3 linked regions of the Saccharomyces cerevisiae S288C genome follow. Changing the gene in region 2 together with the main gene of any one other region gives a genetic interaction. Each region holds a gene or a part of one and is shown on either strand. Other genes may lie near its edges.

Region 1 (5,781 bases), on a different chromosome or scaffold from region 2:
AATAGGTTTGAAAAACTCATAATTCAGACAGTTATTATGGATTCAATAGATGAACAAATTGCTATAAAGCGAAAAGAACTTCAGTCATTACAAAAGATAACCAGTTTAACGGATGGCTTAAAAATTCAGCTAACAGAGTTGAATGAGCAGATCAAAGAAATGGGAATGAATGCGGATTCAGTGGCCCAATTGATGAACAATTGGGATTCTATAATAAACAATATATCGCAAGCAAGTTTGGGATTATTGCAATATGCAGAGGGTGATTATGAGATAGGACCGTGGAAAGATTCTAAGAAAAAGGAATCTGAACAATCAAATGAAACAGGTCTTGAAGCGCAAGAAAATGATAAGAATGATGAAGATAATGATGAGGATGAAGATCTGGTACCCTTGCCGGAAACAATGGTCAGAATTAGGGTAGATGGTAACGAATGAACAGAAAGAAAAGGATCTTATATAAATCGGAAGAAGGCAGTTGCGATAATAGCATATACATATTTATTATTATCATTCCCCAGTAAAGTTTATTATATATATGTAAAATTGTATTATAGATATTAGTATTCTACAGTGTTGGTTTCATAGTTGATGGTATAGTTTTTTTCTTTCGCTACAGAACCAATAGTCGAGTGCAACTTTATCTCGAGTGAGTTGTCTGAGTTCAACGTTTCCACTTGAGATATTTCTTCATATATCTCTTCACGTATGGCATTCTGATCAATAGGAAACCTGCCATATGTTTCGCTTATGTATTCTGGCGTCAGTAACGATTTGTCACATAAAAGATCCACACTGGGCAAGGGGAAATCATTATTTTTGGGTAGTTCTTCATCAAAAACACGTTTGACTATATGCTGAAGCAGTTTATCTCCTTCATTACTAGCATTTAGTAGAACGATTCTTCTCCATACCAAAGCATTCAAGAACTTTTTAACTTCAAAATTCAGTAAGTTTCCATCAACAGAAAGAAGCCTTAGCGGTATGAATAAGCTCTCTTCATCGTCGAGCATAGAATACAACTCAACGAGATCCGATAGATTGACTACTGTTGTTGATTTAAGCTCTTCCACTAATATGTTGAAAACTTCCCTGATAGAGCCATTCTTGAAGCGTTTACATATCTGAACTTCGCCCTTTTTCAATTTGTTTGAAATATTTTTCTCAGCATCAATTGTATCTAAATTATATTGGATCTTTCTCAAAGTATTAATGTCCAAATTATCCTTTTCAACTAGCAACGAGCTTAATTTTGCAACATTCAAGTGCAATTCACATTCGCTCAAGCTTTCGCCCTTCTTTGAATCATCAACAGTAATGTTTTTTAAAGTATTCATGGCATCTGCGTACGACCCATCCAGAATCTGTTGGATCCATGCTACATGACCGTACTTTGGAGCGGACTCTTGGAAAAACTGTATTAAAACATCGTGTTGTTGTGGGAACCTGAAGATGAGGTCGTTCAATTTTTTATGCTTGATTAAATATTCAAATAATGTAAAGCTAAACTCTTTAGGGAATTCGTTGAAGAATGTTTCGTATAGCGATACGGTTGTTGAGTCATTTTGATCTAAAGTTTGTAATGTTTGCACCAATCCAGATAAATCTTTGTAAAATTCTGCTATTTGAATACACTGTTCTTTTAGATTTACCTTACAAAGGACGTGGTTCCAATCCAGGTGGTTATCATCATAAAGATTGTTGATATTTATAAAATTATCATTGGCGTTCACAGATTTAACGGGTTGCGTGTTGATCCATATTTTAAATTGGTTGAACTGATAATATAAAATTTTCACAATCTTTAACAAGCCCTCTTTATAAGAATCCAGACTTCCTTCCTCCTCACACGCAAATGTAAAATCAAAAAAACATTGATTGATACAGTTTAAGTAATCAAAGTTTATGAACCATGGTAGCTTGGATGTATCAACCTCCATCGGGTCTAACTCCAAAAGTTCATACCTTATAGTTTTTTCACCTTCTTCAAGAATTCCATCATAAAAGCATAAGTTGATTAAATTGGTAACATTTAGTTTGAAATTTTGATTTTGTGATGGGAACAAAACAAACACAACATGGTTTAAAAATTGTTTAAAGATTACTGGAAATACGTCGGGACTGTTGATTACAACTGTTTTAGTAGTTAAGTGTTCATTTTGTGTCAGATTATAGTTTGATAAAGTCTTCTCCCATATATCGTTCAATACATCAGATTGTCTGATGATACTATTGAACTTAATACAGCAATTCAAGATCTCAAATTTTTCGATCAGATCCAATTTCAGTTCGGGTGATATTTTATAGTTGAAGTTCTTAGCAACAAATGTCAGGAAATTTTGAAAAAATTCTTTACGGACAGAGAGATGTTGCCCCAACGTATTTAGCATAGGGGGTATGTACTTGCCGTTGGAATGAAAAATCTCCTCGCTGGTTAATTTTAAATCATGCTCTATAGATTCTTGATCTAGTGAAATTTCTGGAGGTAAATTGAAATCTATGGGATTTGCATTTATTTTGGAGAAATAAACAGCTTGATCAACATGAGATTTGACAAACCCAACTTCCGGTTTAGAATTTGTTTCCTCATTCTCTTTCACAAAAAACTGTAGCACCCCCATTTGTTTCGTTAAAACATACAAAGATTTTGAGTCGTAACCAGAACCAATTATATCAATGTCATTTCTAAGGCTAACAATATCTTCCCACTTTCTTCTCATTGAATAGCTAGAGTCCAATTTTGAGTTCACCTGAGTAATGACAACAGCATTGGGGAACATTACCAAAATGGAAGTTACCTCATTGGTATCGTTAGCATTCTCCATCTGAGGTATAAATATCTTAGGCTTAAACTTTGTGTCGGTTATTGACTCCATAAAAGTGTTCAATCTATAAGTGGAAAAAATAGTAAAACTATTAGAAGAAGAATCGAAGATAATCGTGGAAAGAATATAATATGTTTCATTGCATGAACTGTCGTAAATAGATGACAGGAAAAGTTGTGAACTTTCATCTTGTAATGGATGAGAGTCCCAAATCTTCAACGTACCATGAGCAAATGGATACAAATCCTGGAGCGACTCTAAAATGGCTTCGTAAATGTTTACATCAATCAATTTTGTTGGATGGGAATTCGTGGCAGACAACTGCCATGTTTGAAAAATTCCTTTGTTAGTAGTAATATATACTAACCTTGTCCCCTTACCGAGGATAGGTCCATTTCGTAATGAGACAACTGAACTGTTTGTATTGAAAATTTTGGACCAGATACCCAATTTGAAAGGTTTATTTAATAGTTTGCCTAACTTCAGTTGAGGTTTACCCATGGAATTTCTAATGGTTATAAAAAATATTCTGCCCATATTTGTAGAAAGCACTATACCAGCAGGTTCGCAGTTTAACATTAGGTCACACTTCTCTCCGCCCGAAGAGTTGATGGGTAATTCTAACTCGTGAGAGAATTTTTCAGATAACTTAAAGTTCAAATTATTTATGGAGTTGATATCCTCATAATATATCGCTTTGCTACCTTTGATAATGATAAGCCCTCCGGTTTCGTCCTGATCATTAGGATTCAGTGCTAATGGAGACTCATCCATTGTAGCAGGGAAAGTTAGTATGCACCTGGGCGCGACTGCTATTTCATCATTATCATCAGAACGAAATGGTACAGTTATATAGGGCGTATCCTTTTGAGTGGAGTGAATATTCCAGATGTAAACCTTCTTGTGGTCATTGACTAGTCCATATCCAATTTGCATATCGATATATCCATTCAATTCGTCATCGTTACTGAATCCGCTACTGTAGTCTGTTTGAAGGGTTTTTACTATGTATCTGTTATTTTCTGTGAAAACCTTGGAATTATCAAAGTGCGAATGTAACCTTAACTGTTGCTGCTCCATGGAAATGTCCATTAGAGAGGCCTGGCTTTCCTCTTCATAAGACAACTGCGCCAGGGATTCGTTTTCAACCACCGCAATGGGTACGCTAAGTTCCTTCCGCAAACGAAGATGTACTTTTTTTTCACTCATATGGCTATCCTAATGTACTTCACTTGAATTGGATGTAACAGTATGCTCGAGCTCCTCTAAACCTTATTCCTAAATGGTGTATGTTTTGGTTTATTCTGCTATTTTGATTCCTAAATCCTCAAATATATCGTTTTATACGATTTGAAAATTTTTCATTTTTTTGCGATGAGCTAAGGATCGAATTTTCTTATAGTGTAATGCATTATTGGAAAGTGATTTGGTATATCGATGAGTTGTATTGAAGTTATCATATCCAAAAGCGCAGGAGAACACTGGCAGAAAAAATGATTAGAACCGTAAAACCCAAGAATGCAAGAGCCAAGAGAGCTTTGGTAAAGAGGGAAGCTAAGTTGGTAGAGAATGTCAAGCAAGCGCTATTCATTCCAGGGCAAAGCTGTAACAAGAATCTGCACGATATTATGGTAGATTTGAGTGCCTTGAAGAAGCCAGATATGAAGAGGTTCAATCGTAAGAATGATATTCATCCTTTCGAAGACATGTCGCCACTAGAGTTCTTTAGTGAAAAGAATGACTGTTCATTGATGGTGCTGATGACAAGTTCCAAAAAGCGTAAAAACAACATGACCTTTATACGTACATTTGGCTACAAAATATATGATATGATTGAACTAATGGTTGCAGATAATTTCAAGTTGTTATCTGATTTTAAGAAATTAACATTTACTGTAGGGTTGAAGCCTATGTTTACATTCCAAGGTGCTGCATTTGATACACATCCCGTATACAAGCAAATTAAATCTTTGTTTTTAGATTTCTTTAGAGGCGAATCTACTGATTTACAGGATGTTGCGGGATTACAACATGTCATTTCCATGACCATTCAAGGTGACTTCCAAGATGGTGAGCCATTGCCGAACGTTCTATTCCGTGTTTACAAATTAAAAAGTTATAAAAGCGACCAAGGTGGTAAGAGATTACCACGTATTGAATTGGTGGAGATTGGGCCACGTCTAGATTTCAAAATCGGCAGAATTCATACTCCAAGTCCAGATATGGTCACTGAAGCTCACAAGAAGCCAAAACAATTAGAAATGAAGACAAAGAAGAATGTAGAATTAGATATCATGGGTGATAAATTGGGTAGAATCCATATGGGCAAACAAGATTTGGGTAAACTACAAACAAGAAAGATGAAGGGTTTGAAATCCAAATTCGACCAAGGAACTGAAGAAGGTGATGGAGAGGTAGATGAAGACTACGAAGATGAAGCGTCGTATTCGGATGATGGACAAGAATACGAAGAAGAGTTCGTCAGTGCCACTGATATTGAGCCCTCTGCTAAAAGACAGAAGAAATAAGACCCATAAACTTTGTATATTATATGATAATCTAAGAGAGGAGAATTCTATATGTATGTAGTAAGTACATTACAAATGATCTTTCTTTTTTTCCCTTATTTTTATGTATTCTGTTTTACCTATGCTTATTTGAACAGCCACAAATGTTCTATTTTTCTTTAGACAGTTCTACGTTCCTTACTAAACGTAACATGTTTCTCAACAACATTGCAATGGTAACTTTACCAGTCATTGGAACGTAAAGAGAAGCTTTTTCCTTGACATCATCGCTAAAATTTTTGGTGCATGCAAAATTGATGCAGACGGCACCTTCTTTGATGTATTCGGTGGGGAATTTGTAATTTTCACTAGGGACACCAGTGATGACCACATCTGAATCAAGAGAACACTTTTTCAACAGATCTTCAGAGTACTCCCCAAGGTCTTCC
Region 2 (3,565 bases):
AGCCTGGCTATCTTTGGAATCTTATAGGTTTTCTTTACAACAGGAAAAGGAAAAGAGTGGCTTACCTTTACTTGATTTGCTCGCGTCTAAATTCGAGTACAGGCGAAGTGGAAGATGCCTTGGCAAAAAAACCTCAGGGAAAGCTTATAATAGATGATGGCTCAAATGAATACGAAGGAGAATACGATTTCACTTATGATGAGAATGTAATAGATGATAAATCAGATCAAGAAGAATCCCTACAGTAGTTTTAAACTTTAATTTGTGAATTTTCCTTGTCTTACACCTATAATCGTTAAAAACAGTCCCTTTATGTCTACTATTGTAAGTTTCTATTTTTAAAAAAATACCCTTTTCAACTATGTACCTTTATGACAATATTATATTTACTAATTGAACACTTTAGCGAGGATTGAATAATGTGCGCTACTATATAAAAAGACTGCCTTCATCATATATTACTGCAAAGCTCTTAGTTTCTTTCGAATACGGAACTTCAATCAGGCTGTTTCTATTCCTCGCTTAGTAATTTGATATGCAATTTGACCAGGCTTAGCGAATGTGGAATATACCACTTTCATTGTCCTCTTAACTTGCCAGAAGCTTGCCGAATCACCTCCCTTATAAAGATGAGCTTCACCTCTTTGAATTATTGTTGAAGCCTTGAAAGATTTTTGAAGTAATATTCGTGTTGAAACGTGATTGGACCAAGTCAAACCGAGATTGGGGACACGATAGTCAAATTTCCGTTTCTTACTTTGTCGACTGATAGGACTTGATGAATTTCGCTCAACGGTTTTATTCTCAATTATGGGTGGTTTCTTTTTTGAAAAAAAATCATAATTCCGGTCATTTACAGTGCTCATAACTCTCTCGATTAGCATATAATCTTCATCGTCTGATAGAATTTCATCGTTATTGGAACTTGCTCCAAGCAGCGAATTCATCTGCCGATAAAGAATGGTTGAGTTCTTCCAGCCAACTAGCCACCCTAGCTGATAATCATAATCAGTTACATATGTCCTATGTGCCACTGGACTGTTAGCCAGTGGTTTATCCCCAACTTGATTAGCCACCACAACGGATAATGAATAATCGTGGGCCAGTATTTGGAGCTTCTCTGCCATCCTATCCAGATAGTTTTTATTTTCTTGGGATTCTCTGAAGGACTTGTTCTGAAGCTCCACCCTCAAATGATGAGAAATCGAATCTATTATCACCAATTTTATTGAACCCTTAGATCTCTCTAATAAAATAGGCAACTGAACATTGATTATGTGTTCCTGATTTATTAGGTCGTTACAGCTGACGGTGAAAATATTTGATTGTGTAATACCTAGTTTTTCATAAGCCGGCCTAGACGATAGCATACTTTCCAATCTCTGAGTTGGTAAATCGCCCTCAGTGGTAATATATACACATTTGCCGCCAAGCCCTCCCGCAGGTTCGGAAAGTTGGACACTTAACGCCAACTGCATAAGTAATTGAGATTTACCAGTAGAGCTCTCTCCGAATATTTCTGTAATGCCATGCGTGAATATGCCTCCACCTAATAATTCATCCATAGCTACATCAGCAGTCGTGAAACACTCAGGACCGTTATCTGGGCTGATAGAGTTTTTTTCACAGATTTCTAAGTACTTTTCATTATATTCATGAACAAGCAATTGCTGAAATCTGAAAACCTCATTTATCGACCTTTGTATTAGCCTTGCCAATTCCTTCGGAGTGAGTGTTAAAAAATCTACGACGCAGACACCATTTTGCCTTACTGCATCCAAAAGATATGAAAATTCTTCATCATAAAGGAGTTTACTTTCCGGTAATTCATCGTAAAGGTCCATATACGTATTGTCAAATTTTATTGATAAGGCCCTAGGCATGAATTTACACACTTTGAAAAATGGTGAATTCCCAGTGGTTGTTCATCATTTTCATTTTTTGAATTCAACGCGAAAAAGCCGAAGATTAACCGGCATCTGAATTCTCATGTTACTTAGAGGATAATGTGTGAGAAGAAATAGGTAAAGGAAGAATATATTTATAATATATAGGCAATTAGACTAATCAAAATCACCGTCCGTATAAATCGTTGAATGGCTTTTCCGTGGACCGAGTCGAAAGCGTTCCGATGAATTGACTGTTCTGGACGTCGATACTACCAGCTCTCAAACCTAAATCAATAGTATGTTCCTACTATAATACACAACTCGGAATAATCGCGACTTTCAAAGAAACGAAAACTTCTGTACTTCTTTTTTTTTTCAGCACTCTTATAACTATTTTCTATACCGCAAGTCATGCGATAATAAATTCATTAAACGAAAAATCACTTACTCACTTTCGCTCTTGCCGGCGCGTTATTAACATCAAAGGAAGAAGATTCAACAGTCGGAGAATGCTGCTCGTTGCGATTACTCTGACCATTAACGAAATTATTCATAGTGGGTCTTAGCAGATTGAAGTCGAATTCACTTTCACTAGGAATTCGTACGACGGCAGCCACTGGGCGCTGTAAGTCTTTATCAGTCGAGCTAGCTTGTTCTTCTGATAAAGGCGGTGGCGCTAAATATTCCGTTTTGCCATTAGGATGAAACTCTCCTCGTTCGTCGTAAAACCCCAAATCATTCTCATTTGCTGTCTCTGTATATTCAGGAACATAGTCTTCAACGCAACGCTGTGTGCCATTGTAATCTCTCTCGGACTGCCTGTAGGTAGGCGGGGTTAACCAAGCGGTTCCCCTAATCGGAGCTTGACCCATAATTCTTCTTCTCCTATTCACTTTTGCAGTTGAAAACAGAAGTATAAGGAGTGCAACTATGAAAAAAATAAAAAAAATCCATCTTCCCCATCTCCATGAGGAAGAGCTAAATGGATCATCATCTGTAATCGCTTCACCATTGTTATTATTATCATCCTGTCTTTTATGTATTAGGAAGTCGATCTGCTCCCGTAAAATCATTTCAAAACTATACTCTCTGTTTAGCTAAATTTCCTTCAGCTTTCTAGCGAGCTAAGGAATGTATTCCAAATTTACTGCTCCTTTATTACGTCAAAAATTTCTATAGTATTCGATTCTCATTAGTAATTATAAAGGAGTAGCGAGAAAAACAAAAATAAAAGGGCGGAAACATAAAGATGGTAAATAAGACAGAGAATATTACCCGGAAACATACTACGAGATTATTGAGCTAATCTCCATGCACCAAAGTGGTTAGACATTTGGCTACATTGACTACTGCAACAATTACTTGAACCCTCTAATCCTTCTTACATATCTATTCATATGTGATTTCACAATGCTACATAAGCGTTTTTTATATAATTAAAGAGCAACTTTTCCTCACAGTAGATAAAAATATATATGCACGCTGTAAAGGAAAATTACATTAGGAACAAAAAAATCTAGACGCAAGTAACAAGCACATCGAAACTAAGCCTTTTTGTTGATTTCTTGAGCTTTTTCAAATTCTTCTTTAAATTTATCAGCATTTTCCTTACTGCCAAATCTGATAGCAAAAGTGAAGGCTTCTGCTTCACCTTCTGCAATATCTGCTGTACAAGC
Region 3 (5,220 bases), on a different chromosome or scaffold from region 2:
AATTATTCTAATATCCACCGAATTTTCGAAAAGTATACTAATTTAAACATTTGGTGTAAGCGTTTAGGTTGCTAACGTAGCAGCAAACGTTGGTATCAATCACCACTTATTGCGCTACATTTCAACAATGTTCTTGAGAAATGGGTGAATGTTGAGATAATTGTTGGGATTCCATTGTTGATAAAGGCTATAATATTAGGTATACAGAATATACTAGAAGTTCTCCTCGAGGGTCTAGGAATCCCCATAATGGAATCTATATTTCTATATACCAATATTACGATTATTCCTCATTCCGTTTTATATGTTTCATTATCCTATTACATTATCAATCCTTGCACTTCAGCTTCCTCTAACTTCGATGACAGCTTCTCATAACTTGTGTCATCATCTTAACACCGTATATGATAATATATTGATAGTATAACTATTAGTTGATAGACGATAGTGGATTTTTATTCCAACAGTTCTCTTCAACCATTCGTTTTTGGGACTGAGGAAAATGAATATAAAATTATAATACTTCATCTTGAACTTTGAGAAATCACAAATTGTATGGGCGTGTGGTCTAGTGGAATGATTCTCGCTTTGGGCGATCCCCCTGATCAAACAGGAGGAACAAAGCATGCGAGAGGCCCTGGGTTCAATTCCCAGCTCGCCCCTTTTTTTGCAACTTCGTTTTAGACAGTTACTTAATTTTGTTTCTTAGGCACAACAATATTTATAAAAGAAGAATGTAAGTATGACGACGAAAACGAAAAGACTAATAGTTTCATATAATACTAAACGATTTCAATTTTCGTTTTATATCCTTCCTATTCATAAATTTTATTTCGCTATGCCAATAATGAGTGGATGTATAGTTGATATCTGTTTCGATAATTTTAAAGTAGATAGTAAAATCTTACTGACATGAATAATCCGTCCAAAACTAGATTACTGTATACAAGCATATTTAAAAAAATAATGAAACTATGATCAAAAAACTGTGCTACTACAGCGGTGTTGTTATCCGATACAACCGGATATTTTTCTTTTAATGAGTCTAAACCGTGATAGCTTCAGGTTAATACAATCAAAAAAAGCTCAAATATTCTTTTAATGCCGCGTTCACAGATTCCAATTGAATACAACTAGGTAGTTCATTATATGAAGCCTTTGCTACTATTTTTCACTATAGTCTGCCTTCACCTTAATGCAGACATCCACATATTTTAATCACTTTAAAATAAAAAGGAAGATATATTAGAAGCTATGATCCAATCTGTAAGCCAGATTAAAATTCACGAACTCTTCTTTCATTTGAATTGAATGCTTTGAGTTGGGGTAGATTATCGCAAATTACTCATCACATTTATTGACTACGAACTTGCTGATGTCCTTTTTTTATTTATATTTTTCTTCAGTGAAGCGATTTTTTTTTTACACAGACCAAGACGGAAAAAAGTAGCTAAGGAAGAAAACAAAATCATGAAAAAAATGTGAAGTGATCATGCACATCGCATCAACTTAAACATTGGCTTAGAGATATATAGAGTTAGAGTTTACGGCAACCTTTAAGCACCAATACCTTTTGGCATAGTCTAAAGACCTGGTTCTTAATTTTAAACAAATTTAACTAAAGATTTCCCTATCAAAGAAGTAACGAGTTGACAGATTTTCTCAAAATAAATCGATACTGCATTTCTAGGCATATCCAGCGATGGGTGAACATGGTGGTCTTGTAGATTTATTGGACAGCGATTTGGAATACTCTATAAATAGGGAAACACCTGATAAAAACAATTGCCTTAGCCAGCAAAGTGTCAATGATTCACATTTAACAGCAAAGACCGGCGGCTTGAATGCAAGGTCTTTTCTATCTACGTTAAGCGATGATTCCTTAATTGAATATGTCAACCAACTCTCCCAAACTAATAAGAATAATTCTAATCCAACTGCAGGTACTTTAAGATTTACTACTAAAAATATTAGCTGTGATGAATTACATGCTGATCTTGGCGGTGGCGAAGATTCACCTATAGCTCGTAGCGTCATCGAGATCCAGGAAAGTGATAGCAATGGTGATGATGTTAAAAAAAATACTGTGTATACTAGGGAGGCTTATTTCCACGAGAAGGCGCACGGACAAACCCTGCAAGATCAAATATTAAAAGATCAATATAAAGATCAAATTTCTAGTCAAAGCAGTAAAATATTCAAAAATTGCGTCATCTATATAAATGGCTACACCAAACCTGGAAGACTGCAATTACACGAGATGATAGTTTTACATGGCGGAAAATTTTTACACTATTTGTCTTCAAAGAAAACGGTTACTCACATAGTGGCTTCCAATTTACCATTAAAGAAAAGGATTGAATTTGCAAATTACAAAGTAGTCAGTCCGGATTGGATAGTTGATAGCGTCAAAGAAGCAAGATTATTGCCCTGGCAAAATTACTCGTTAACATCTAAACTTGATGAACAGCAAAAAAAACTAGATAATTGTAAAACCGTAAATTCAATTCCATTGCCCTCAGAGACTAGCCTGCACAAAGGATCTAAATGTGTAGGGTCGGCATTGTTGCCAGTAGAACAGCAGTCACCAGTAAATCTCAATAATTTGGAGGCGAAAAGGATAGTCGCTTGTGATGATCCTGATTTCCTTACTTCCTATTTTGCTCATTCGAGATTACATCATCTCTCCGCATGGAAGGCCAATCTGAAAGATAAATTTCTGAATGAAAACATCCACAAGTACACCAAAATTACGGATAAGGATACCTACATTATCTTTCATATCGATTTTGACTGTTTTTTTGCAACTGTTGCGTATCTATGTAGAAGTTCTAGTTTCTCAGCATGTGATTTTAAACGGGATCCTATAGTGGTATGCCATGGTACTAAAAACTCCGATATAGCTAGTTGCAATTATGTAGCAAGGTCATATGGGATTAAAAATGGAATGTGGGTGTCTCAAGCTGAAAAGATGTTGCCAAATGGGATCAAACTAATATCATTACCATATACCTTTGAGCAATTTCAATTAAAATCGGAAGCCTTTTACAGTACTCTCAAAAGATTGAACATATTCAATTTGATTTTACCTATATCTATTGATGAAGCTGTTTGTGTGAGGATAATCCCTGATAATATTCATAACACTAATACCTTAAATGCAAGACTGTGCGAAGAAATACGCCAAGAAATTTTTCAAGGAACGAATGGTTGCACAGTGAGCATTGGATGTTCCGATTCTCTTGTGTTAGCAAGACTAGCTCTCAAAATGGCGAAACCAAATGGTTACAATATCACGTTTAAGAGTAACCTATCTGAAGAATTCTGGTCTAGTTTCAAACTAGATGATCTGCCTGGAGTTGGGCATTCTACTCTGTCAAGGTTAGAATCAACGTTTGATAGCCCACATTCTTTAAATGACTTGAGAAAAAGATATACTTTAGATGCTTTGAAGGCGAGCGTCGGCTCTAAGTTAGGTATGAAGATTCATCTCGCGTTACAAGGCCAAGATGATGAAGAAAGCTTGAAAATACTGTACGATCCCAAAGAAGTCTTACAAAGAAAATCATTATCAATTGATATCAATTGGGGAATCAGATTTAAAAATATCACTCAGGTAGACTTGTTCATAGAAAGAGGTTGTCAGTATCTTTTAGAAAAATTGAATGAAATAAACAAAACAACGTCACAAATCACATTAAAACTGATGAGAAGATGTAAAGACGCTCCAATTGAACCCCCAAAATATATGGGGATGGGAAGGTGCGACTCATTCAGTCGGAGCAGCAGATTAGGTATTCCAACAAACGAATTTGGAATTATTGCTACCGAAATGAAAAGTTTGTATCGAACTTTGGGCTGCCCTCCAATGGAATTAAGAGGTCTTGCTCTACAATTCAACAAATTGGTTGATGTGGGTCCGGATAACAATCAGCTGAAACTGAGGTTACCGTTTAAAACAATAGTGACGAACAGAGCTTTCGAAGCCTTACCGGAAGATGTAAAAAATGACATTAACAACGAGTTCGAGAAAAGAAATTATAAGAGAAAAGAATCCGGGTTGACTTCAAACTCATTGAGCTCTAAAAAAAAAGGATTTGCCATTTCCAGATTAGAAGTAAATGATTTGCCCAGTACTATGGAAGAACAGTTTATGAATGAACTACCAACCCAAATTCGAGCAGAAGTAAGGCACGACTTGAGAATTCAGAAAAAAATCCAACAGACAAAGTTAGGAAACCTACAAGAAAAGATAAAAAGGAGAGAAGAGAGCCTACAGAACGAGAAAAATCATTTCATGGGCCAAAATAGTATATTCCAGCCGATCAAATTCCAAAATCTGACACGGTTCAAAAAAATTTGTCAATTAGTGAAACAATGGGTTGCCGAAACTTTAGGTGATGGAGGGCCGCATGAAAAAGATGTTAAATTATTCGTGAAATATTTGATTAAACTTTGCGATTCTAATAGAGTCCATTTAGTTCTTCATTTATCAAACCTAATATCAAGGGAATTAAATCTCTGCGCCTTTTTAAATCAGGATCATTCAGGCTTCCAAACGTGGGAAAGAATTTTACTCAATGATATAATTCCACTTTTAAACAGAAATAAACATACTTACCAGACTGTGCGTAAACTTGACATGGACTTTGAAGTTTGAATTAAAAAAAAAAAAACATTTCAGCATACAGTAAACACGCAGTTTGCGAACATTACCTGTAATATCTGCATGATTATTACCAAAGAAAAAAAAAATAACTGACACAATGGACAATTAAATAAAATTAAGTAAAAAAAATAAGGACTTTAATTTTTACTAGAATTCTTGACCAACAGTAGAAATGCGTAAGGTATTGGAATGGCCGACTCCTCCTTTGAATCCTTGAATGGAAACAACAGTATCACCGTTGTCCACCATTCCGAAAGACCTCGCCATTTCAACACCAAACTTTAGGCGCCTATGAACATCCTCACCCCAGTCGTCTAGGCGTTTCGGTTCATACAGAAATGGGAAAACACCTCTATACAAATGCGCAATTCTTGCCGTTCTTGCGTGTCTTGTTACTAATATGATAGGGCAGCTTGGTCTATACTTCGACAGTAGCCTTGCCGTGTTCCCTGTAGTAGATAATACAACGATGGCCTTACCATCTTGCTCCAAGATTGCTGCGGTAGCTGCAGCTGCTACAGTTTCCGTAGTGGAAGTAGGTTTGGGAGTGG

Evidence for each region.
Region 1: mutations in RAD57 (region 2) and NUP133 together harm fitness more than expected from each alone (negative genetic interaction), as found in Saccharomyces cerevisiae (4 studies listed by BioGRID, with this or other methods).
Region 3: mutations in RAD57 (region 2) and REV1 together harm fitness more than expected from each alone (negative genetic interaction), as found in Saccharomyces cerevisiae (6 studies listed by BioGRID, with this or other methods).

The regions. Positions count from the first base shown.
Region 1 is NC_001143.9:591,078-596,858, reverse strand, and holds NUP133 (Nup133p), read right to left. Parts: upstream 4,035-5,781; coding exon 561-4,034; downstream 1-560. Other genes in the region: DAD2 (Dad2p), read left to right, coding at 37-438; rRNA-binding ribosome biosynthesis protein RPF2, read left to right, coding at 4,319-5,353; MTD1 (methylenetetrahydrofolate dehydrogenase (NAD(+))), read right to left, coding at 5,502-5,781. UniProt on the Saccharomyces cerevisiae protein: Functions as a component of the nuclear pore complex (NPC).
Region 2 is NC_001136.10:453,519-457,083, reverse strand, and holds RAD57 (putative DNA-dependent ATPase RAD57), read right to left. Parts: upstream 1,884-3,565; coding exon 501-1,883; downstream 1-500. Other genes in the region: RNA polymerase III-inhibiting protein MAF1, read left to right, coding at 1-248; YDR003W-A (uncharacterized protein), read right to left, coding at 2,180-2,302; RCR2 (Rcr2p), read right to left, coding at 2,330-2,962; Ran GTPase-binding protein YRB1, read right to left, coding at 3,434-3,565. UniProt on the Saccharomyces cerevisiae protein: Participates in the repair of X-ray-induced damage to DNA and in meiosis. It may act in part by stabilizing a repair complex of other RAD genes.
Region 3 is NC_001147.6:980,126-985,345, forward strand, and holds REV1 (deoxycytidyl transferase), read left to right. Parts: upstream 1-1,702; coding exon 1,703-4,660; downstream 4,661-5,220. Other genes in the region: pyruvate kinase PYK2, read right to left, coding at 4,817-5,220. UniProt on the Saccharomyces cerevisiae protein: Deoxycytidyl transferase involved in DNA repair. Transfers a dCMP residue from dCTP to the 3'-end of a DNA primer in a template-dependent reaction.